Daphnia pulex: one gene and its partner. The protein of the gene in region 1 purifies or fractionates together with the protein of each later gene. This does not show direct contact. Links are inferred from orthologs where the notes say so. Each region holds a gene or a part of one and is shown on either strand. Other genes may lie near its edges.

What was found. Proteins that work in one complex are often made in the same cells at the same time.
Region 2: the proteins of zygotic DNA replication licensing factor mcm6-B-like (region 1) and cell division control protein 45 homolog purify together in Drosophila melanogaster (affinity purification with western blotting; 3 studies listed by BioGRID, with this or other methods). This does not show direct contact. The link is inferred for Daphnia pulex from reciprocal best matches to the Drosophila melanogaster genes Mcm6 and Cdc45.

What each region holds. Positions count from the first base shown.
Region 1 is NC_060017.1:7,927,024-7,930,780, forward strand, and holds the start of zygotic DNA replication licensing factor mcm6-B-like, read left to right. Parts: upstream 1-1,135; 5' UTR 1,136-1,239; coding exon 1,240-1,331; intron 1,332-1,404; coding exon 1,405-1,548; intron 1,549-1,614; coding exon 1,615-1,879; intron 1,880-1,937; coding exon 1,938-2,086; intron 2,087-2,143; coding exon 2,144-2,399; intron 2,400-2,460; coding exon 2,461-2,757; intron 2,758-2,822; coding exon 2,823-3,757. UniProt on the Drosophila melanogaster protein: Acts as a component of the Mcm2-7 complex (Mcm complex) which is the putative replicative helicase essential for 'once per cell cycle' DNA replication initiation and elongation in eukaryotic cells.
Region 2 is NC_060026.1:14,328,001-14,331,757, reverse strand, and holds the start of cell division control protein 45 homolog, read left to right. Parts: upstream 1-1,151; 5' UTR 1,152-1,238; coding exon 1,239-1,289; intron 1,290-1,366; coding exon 1,367-1,519; intron 1,520-1,584; coding exon 1,585-1,722; exon of another isoform or gene 1,723-1,782; coding exon 1,783-1,872; exon of another isoform or gene 1,873-1,931; coding exon 1,932-2,126; intron 2,127-2,169; exon of another isoform or gene 2,170-2,189; coding exon 2,190-2,251; exon of another isoform or gene 2,252-2,310; coding exon 2,311-2,484; intron 2,485-2,545; coding exon 2,546-2,677; intron 2,678-2,741; coding exon 2,742-3,002; intron 3,003-3,076; coding exon 3,077-3,215; intron 3,216-3,281; coding exon 3,282-3,487; intron 3,488-3,551; coding exon 3,552-3,628; intron 3,629-3,694; coding exon 3,695-3,757. Other genes in the region: NAD-dependent protein deacylase, read left to right, coding at 1-75, 135-277, 350-500, 570-624.

The DNA of each region.
Region 1 (3,757 bases):
GTAGTCCAATATTTGTTTCCCGGTGGTCGAGTATTGCAAGTTCGAAACAAACAAATATTCCTCGCGTACGCTGATGTCAGACTGCGGGGATTCGTGGCATAGTGGGATAGAATCCTGTGTTACTTCCGGTTCTTGTGACTGGTGGAATTGGCCATTATTCTGAAAATCTTGGTAGATGACGTAATCAGTTAAAGGTGTGTACGAACGATTCTCCAGTGAAGTTGGCTTGGAAGTTGGCAACAGGGTTGAATAAACTGGGCCAGGGATTACGATTTGATCCTTATACACACGTTTCTGGTTCACGAAGAGTTTGATATTCATTCGACGACCGCCCAACTTTGTTCCGTCGTAGAAGAGGGCTTTCCGGGCATGATCTGGCTGGTGGAAATATATTGCGGCTTTGCACATATAGTGGCCATCTGCGTTATGGTGCTTTGTAAGACAATCGACCGGTCCGACGTATTTTTCGAAAAAGTTGACAATTTCTTGCTCGGAAGTCTCACGAGCCAAATTGGTGATCCACACCATTTCGACATCTTTCACTGCTTCAATCGATTCCTGAAGAACAATTTCCTTTTGGTTTGTCATTTTCAAATCGTCGTATGTTTGACTTTTTGAGAAAACACTCTAAACTGAGCATGGTCATTGTAAGTCATGGTGTGAACTTATATGGGCACCGGGATCCGGAAAAACATCTGCAACTACCTGGCGAGATTTATTTTCTGATTTATAAATTGAACGCATTAGTTAACGAAAATGATTTCCGTCTATTTACAATTTTGAAGTTATTACCCATATTATTCATTCAAATGAAATACAAATTTTCCCTTAAATAAGAATAATAAACCAAATATAATGATCGAAAATTGATAATCAGTCAGAGGATCAGTAAACAATCCGCCAGGTAATTATTATTAGGTATGTCGGTATCCACTAATTTGGCCTGCAGGCCTGGCAAGAGACAAATATACACAATAAAAAAATTTGGTTAGTTCAATACATTTTTCTGTAAACATTTTATTATTTTTAAAACATTTTTAAAAAGTCGAAAACTCGGAAAATCACATTTGAATTTCAGATTTTCTTTGTTTTTTTTCTTTGTGCCTGACAACGTCGCAATCTTTCTCATTGCCATTTTCGCGCCAGAATTTCGTTGTCTGCTCATTCTGCGTGTTTGTTCTTGCACGAAAAGTGGTGATCAAAGTTTTATCCCTATTTTTCCTTTGATTATCTTAAACTATGGATGTTGCAGGTGCTCAACAAGTACAAAATAAACTCAAGGATGATGTTGCTCAAAGGTGTCAAAAATTGTTCTTGGATTTCCTTGAAGGGTAAGTGTACAAAGCTGTTCATGAATGATTGATACATGCTTAGCTGGGTGATGCAAAAACTTTCTTTCTCTAGTTTTGAAGTTGATGGTGAAGTAAAGTACTTGGAAAAGGCTAAAGAACTTGTAAAACCAGAAAGAAATACACTTCAAGTCAGCTTTCAGGATGTCGAGAAATATAACAGCAATTTGGCTGTCACAATCGTGGCTGAATATTACCGGTATTGTTCCTTACTATGACATTTCTGAACAACTTGAACATTAATTGATGTCTTTTATACATTTAGTGTTTACCCTTTCATTTGCCAAGCTGTTTATTCCTATGTGAGAGATAAGGCTGATTTCAATGTGGAGAAAGAACTGTACATCAGCTTTGTTGATGTCAGCTCAAAATACAAGGTCAGAGACTTGAAGACAGCTAGCATTGGCTCGCTCTTTCAGATATCTGGCCAAGTTATTCGTACCCATCCAGTTCATCCAGAATTGGTCAGCGCTACCTTTGTTTGCCTAGATTGTCAAACAGTCATTAAGGATGTAGAACAACAGTTCAAGGTAAGGTAGAAACACATTTATTTTTATTCAAATTTTTTTTAATGATTTTATTTTGCAGTACACACAACCTTCTATTTGCCGCAACCCTGTCTGCTTCAACAGAAGTCGATTCATGCTAAATGTTAACAAGTCCCGGTTCGTTGATTTTCAAAAAGTTCGAATTCAGGAAACGCAAGCAGAACTCCCTCGAGGATGTATTCCACGCAGGTAACTTCAAAGTGTTGAATTACTCATGACTAGTAAAGTGTACGCCAATCTGTTTAGTGTTGAGGTTATTCTACGAGCTGAAGCAGTGGAAACAGCGCAAGCTGGTGATAAGTGCGATTTCACTGGAACTCTTATCGTTGTCCCTGATGTCGGTTCTATCTCTGTACCTGGTGCTCGAGCGGAAAGTGGATCACGGAAAACTGGTGAAGGTCCGGAAACTGAAGGTGTCCGCGGACTGAAAAATTTGGGTGTCAGGGACCTAAACTACCGACTGGCTTTCTTAGCTTGCAGTGTTACCCAAAGCAACCCCATGGTAAGTCAAGTTTATCGATAAAAATGATATTTAAATGGTAACCCTGTTGGTTTATTATTAGTTTGGTGGTAAAGACTTGCATCAAGAGGAAATGACAGCAGTTGATATCAAAAATCAAATGTCAGAGCAAGATTGGAACCGTATCTACAATATGACACAGGACGTTAATTTGTACGACAATTTGATCAAAAGTCTGTTTGCCACCATTTACGGAAACGACGAAATCAAGCGAGGTATTCTACTAATGCTCTTTGGCGGTGTTCCCAAAAAAACCGTTGAGCATACTACGTTGCGTGGAGACACCAACGTCTGCATAGTTGGCGATCCCAGTACAGCAAAGTCGCAGTTTTTAAAGCAGGTAATTTCGGCAACAGTTTTCTTCCTCCTTACTTTTATTGTTATTATAATTTCTTTTACATCCAGGTCGCCGAATTTACCCCTCGTGCAGTTTACACTTCTGGTAAAGCATCCAGTGCAGCTGGTTTAACAGCTGCTGTGGTACGAGATGAAGAATCGTATGAATTCGTTATCGAAGCGGGAGCACTCATGTTAGCAGATAATGGTGTCTGTTGCATTGACGAGTTTGACAAGATGGATCCTCGCGATCAAGTTGCTATCCACGAAGCCATGGAACAGCAGACCATCTCCATCACCAAGGCCGGAGTCAAAGCAACACTTAACGCTCGAGCTTCAATCTTGGCTGCAGCCAATCCCATTGGAGGACGATACGACCGAACAAAATCCCTGAAACAGAACGTGATGATGACCGCGCCCATTATGTCTCGTTTTGATCTCTTTTTCATCTTAGTTGATGAGTGTAATGAAGTCGTCGACTATTCCATCGCCCGTAGCATCGTCGATCTTCACAGGAGAAACGTTGAATCGATTGAACGAGTGTACCAGACTGAGGATATCCGACGCTACATAACATTCGCCCGTAAATTCCAACCGAAGCTCAGTAAAGAAGCGGCTGACTATCTGGTTAACGCCTACCGCCAACTTCGTCAACGTGATGGTGGTTCAACCTCGTCAGCCTCAAGGATTACTGTTCGCCAATTGGAAAGCTTGATTCGTTTGTCAGAGGCGATGGCTCGCATGTATTGTCTGAGTCTGGTCACAAAAGACCATGTTAAAGAAGCTTATAGGCTCCTGAACAAATCCATCATCCGCGTTGAAGAGCCCGATATTGATTTGGAAGATGCTGAACAGCCAGATCTGTCGGTAGAGGAAGAAGAAACGAATGGCGTTCCTTCCAGTGAAGATGTTGACAAGCAAAAGGGAGCTAGTGGTGAGTCGGTTGATCCCACCGTGCAGAAGAAAAAGATATCCATCACCTTCGAGAGCTACAAAGCTATTTC
Region 2 (3,757 bases), on another chromosome or scaffold:
GACTCGGTGTCTGAAATGTAAAAAGATAGAACCCAATCATGACAGTCCCATTTGTGAAGCTCTTAGGGGAAAGGGGTAAGATTTTCCTTTTTTACTTATTTCAAATAAAAATCTAATTGTCTTACCCTTATTAGATCACCATCCCCAAATGAGGTTGGAGAATTGGTTCCAGAATCATTGTTGCCCAGATGCAAAGTTTCTTCCTGTGGAGGCCTTCTAAGGCCCCATGTTGTATGGTTCCATGAAAATCTGGATTCTGCCGTTCTCAAAAAAGCTGGTAATTAGTACAATTTTTTCTTCGATGTCAATTTTTTATGTGTCCTATTTACGTGTTTATTTTATTATCTAGATGAGGAACTTAATAGTTGCGATCTGTGTTTGGTCGTTGGAACATCATCAGTTGTCTATCCAGCAGCAATGTTTGCTCCCCAGGTTGCTGAAAGAGGGGTTCCCGTCGCGGAATTCAATATGGAAACTACTCCTGCTACTCATCACTTTGGGTATGAAACACCTAAACATTTGCATGTCGTAAAGTTCTTTTCATAACACGTTATTGACGTTTCTGGCAGATTTCATTTTTCGGGTCCTTGTGGGGAACTTTTACCTAAAGCGCTGGCACCTTGACGATCGTGCGCCCAACTGTTGAATTGCTACAGACACTACGGTTTATAAAGACCTACAGCTGATAAATTAACATGCTTGTGCATTTAAAGTCGTATTGTTTTTATTATTTGTAAAAAACTACATATGCGTATACAAAACTTTACTAGAATCCGTACGTGAAATATTTTAAAATATGCGAATATTTGATTACCCCAATAGTTGAATCTTTAACAGTTGCATCAGCTTTATCCACGATAATGATTGATTAAAATTAGATTTTTACATAAAGACGATTTATTCTAACAGAGAAAAATATCTACAAAATAAGTTGAAAACTTTTGGTTGGTCATTTGAATTTCGGATGCTAATTGTCAACGAAAACTTAAGTAAGCGTTAAAAAGAAGGGAAATAAAAAAATTAAATTTTTCATATTTTGTGTGTGGAATTCTTTGTTTGTAAATATAAAAATATCACGTGTGCTTAAAAAACGAACGAAAAAACAAAATCAATTCCTTTGTCTGTGTTAAAGGGACACCAGAAGAGGCTTCGATTTTGTTGTTAGTTTCGCGCCATTTCACGTACCGAATGAAAAGAAGAGTGAGGGATCAGGGAAAGGGTATTGTGAATGGCTAACAATGTTTCTCAGTGACCTCAAACGCGAGTTTTACGATGTTATATTGGGAAAAGTAATAATGAACGACTGATTTACCGATATTTTGTGTGTGATATAAAGTAATGTCTTTCTCATATTTTCTTTGTACAGCGTGTCTTGATATTTGTGAATTTCGACGTGGATGCCATAGCTTCATGTCGAATTCTGCAGTACCTGTTACTTTGTGATTCAATCAGCTATTCTATAGTCCCTGTGCAGAGCCAAAATGATCTCATTTCAGCCTACAAAGAGAGCTGTGAACAGGTGAAAATGCATTCGTAATAATATATATAGTGTTGAAGAAGTGAGTGTCAATATAATTTCTACAGTCGAACCACATTATTCTGATAAACTGTGGAGGAACTTTGGACATTGTAGAAACATTAGAACCATCAGAGGAAAAAATCTTCTATATTGCAGACTCACATCGGCCATATGATGTTTGTAACATCTACAACGATGGACAGGTAAATATCACTGTTTACTTTTTATAGCGAAAACTTTGTTGATTGTGTGCCATTGTTTAGGTTTGTATACTGGGAAAGGTAAATGAGAAAGAAGATATACCAACATATGAAGATATCTTTGGGAATGATGATGACGATGATGATGATGAGGTAGTTAATTAATTGGCATATGTTTAAATTTGAAACTGATAAATTTTTAAAATAATTAGGGCAGCAATCCTTCAGATGGAGAAGCAAATGGTGATGGTGATGATGATGAAGAAGAAGTTCGTGAATCTAAATCCAAACGTCAGAAATTGGATCCTGCTGAAATGGTTATGCGTCGTAGAGAAAAAAGGCTATGGCATGAGAAAAGAAAGGAGATTTTGTTTAACTATATGCAATTTTCTTTTTATTCATCGTCGGTAAGTTTAATTCAAAATCAAAACTGTATTCAACTTTTATTACCATTCATTTTCGTCGTTTAGACTGCTCTTCTTATGTTTGAACTTGCCTGGAAATTATCTAGAGACAGCAATGACTTGTTGTGGTAATAATTCTTTAAATTTTTAGCTGAGTAAGAATGTACATGGTTCATTGGTATTGCAGGTGGGCTATTATTGGTGTGAACGAACAGCAGCTTCTGGGTAAAGTCGAATCAAAAACCTCGGTTCTTGATAATGGCAAATTGCAAAGTCACATGATTCGATTGGCCCATTTATCGCAACACGGTGGAGAATCGACAGGAACCAAAGACGCACTATATATAACCCACGAAAAAGAGTAACATAATATTTTTGCTATTTAATTTACAGTAATTTAAATTAACTTTTTGTTTAAACAGTTTAAATTTGTCAATGTACCGACACTGGAGTTTATTGGAAAGCTTAAAATACTCTCCTCAAACAGCCAGTCATTTTCAACTTTGGACACTGAAAGGAGAGAAAAAACTCAACGAGTTTCTAGCTGAATTGGGGTAATTTCAGAATCCAAATATATTTTACTACTATTATTGCAATGTCTTTTATTATTGCTCACAGGCTTCCACTGTCTCAGTGTCGCCAAAAATTTAACTCTATGGATATCGAGCTTCGAAATGATTTGCGTGCCATTTTCCAGAAAAAAGTGGAAAAATACGACTTGGAAGACCTCGTTGAATACAGTTTTAATTCTCAGTATGGATTCCGGCCAAAGAATTCCGCCAGTGACTATGTCTACGCTCTTATAGCGTTGCTTGATTCGGCCGAAAAGGATAAAGATCCAGCCGATGCATTTCACGACGCACTGGAATGTCTTTCAAAGTATGCTTCTTAACCTCAAGTCATCTTCATAGAAAGAATCGTGATTGAGACATTGTTCCTTTCATATCTTTTAGCTCGAAAATGGATGCTGTTTATAAAGGAATCGAACTGGCCAAGCTTCAGCAAATGGCGATCGGAAAAGAAGTGCACACCTGTCTGGATATGGGTCACGTGATCAGCGCAGGACCTTGTTTGTACGCAGTTATCCAAGACGTAATAATAATGAATCGTATTCATCCCTGACACGAATAGCATCTAAACAACTTGTGCAACATACAGGGGACACCAGACGCCAAGTACTATGGTTATCCGCACAGTTTGCTCATGCTGGGACAGTTTCTTCTCAAAGCCCACATCTCGCGAGCACGAGGTCGTGGATTGAGAGCGAGAGAGCTTCCACTCATCATTTCAGCCCCATCGGCGTCTCGACCATCTCATTGCCTTTTATTGGGTTTGCCTCCTTTATCATTGGATTCCCCTAAAAAGTAAGTGCCTCATCTCCTAGAATTCCATTTACCGTTTCTTAACCGTTTGCAACGATTGTCACAGCTTGATTGGAAAAGCCTTTGAGCAAGCAGCTGAAAATACCCAAACAGAAATCACATCTGTATTTTTTGACTCCTCCGGTATGAGATTTGTGTTGCTGTAGGTAGCGATTTATTTACTAATTCGTTTTTCTCTTGAATGCGCAGTGATCGAGATCAACTCGGAATGCCGAACCAATTTCTTGGATTCGCTCTTTTCACTCCTAGAGT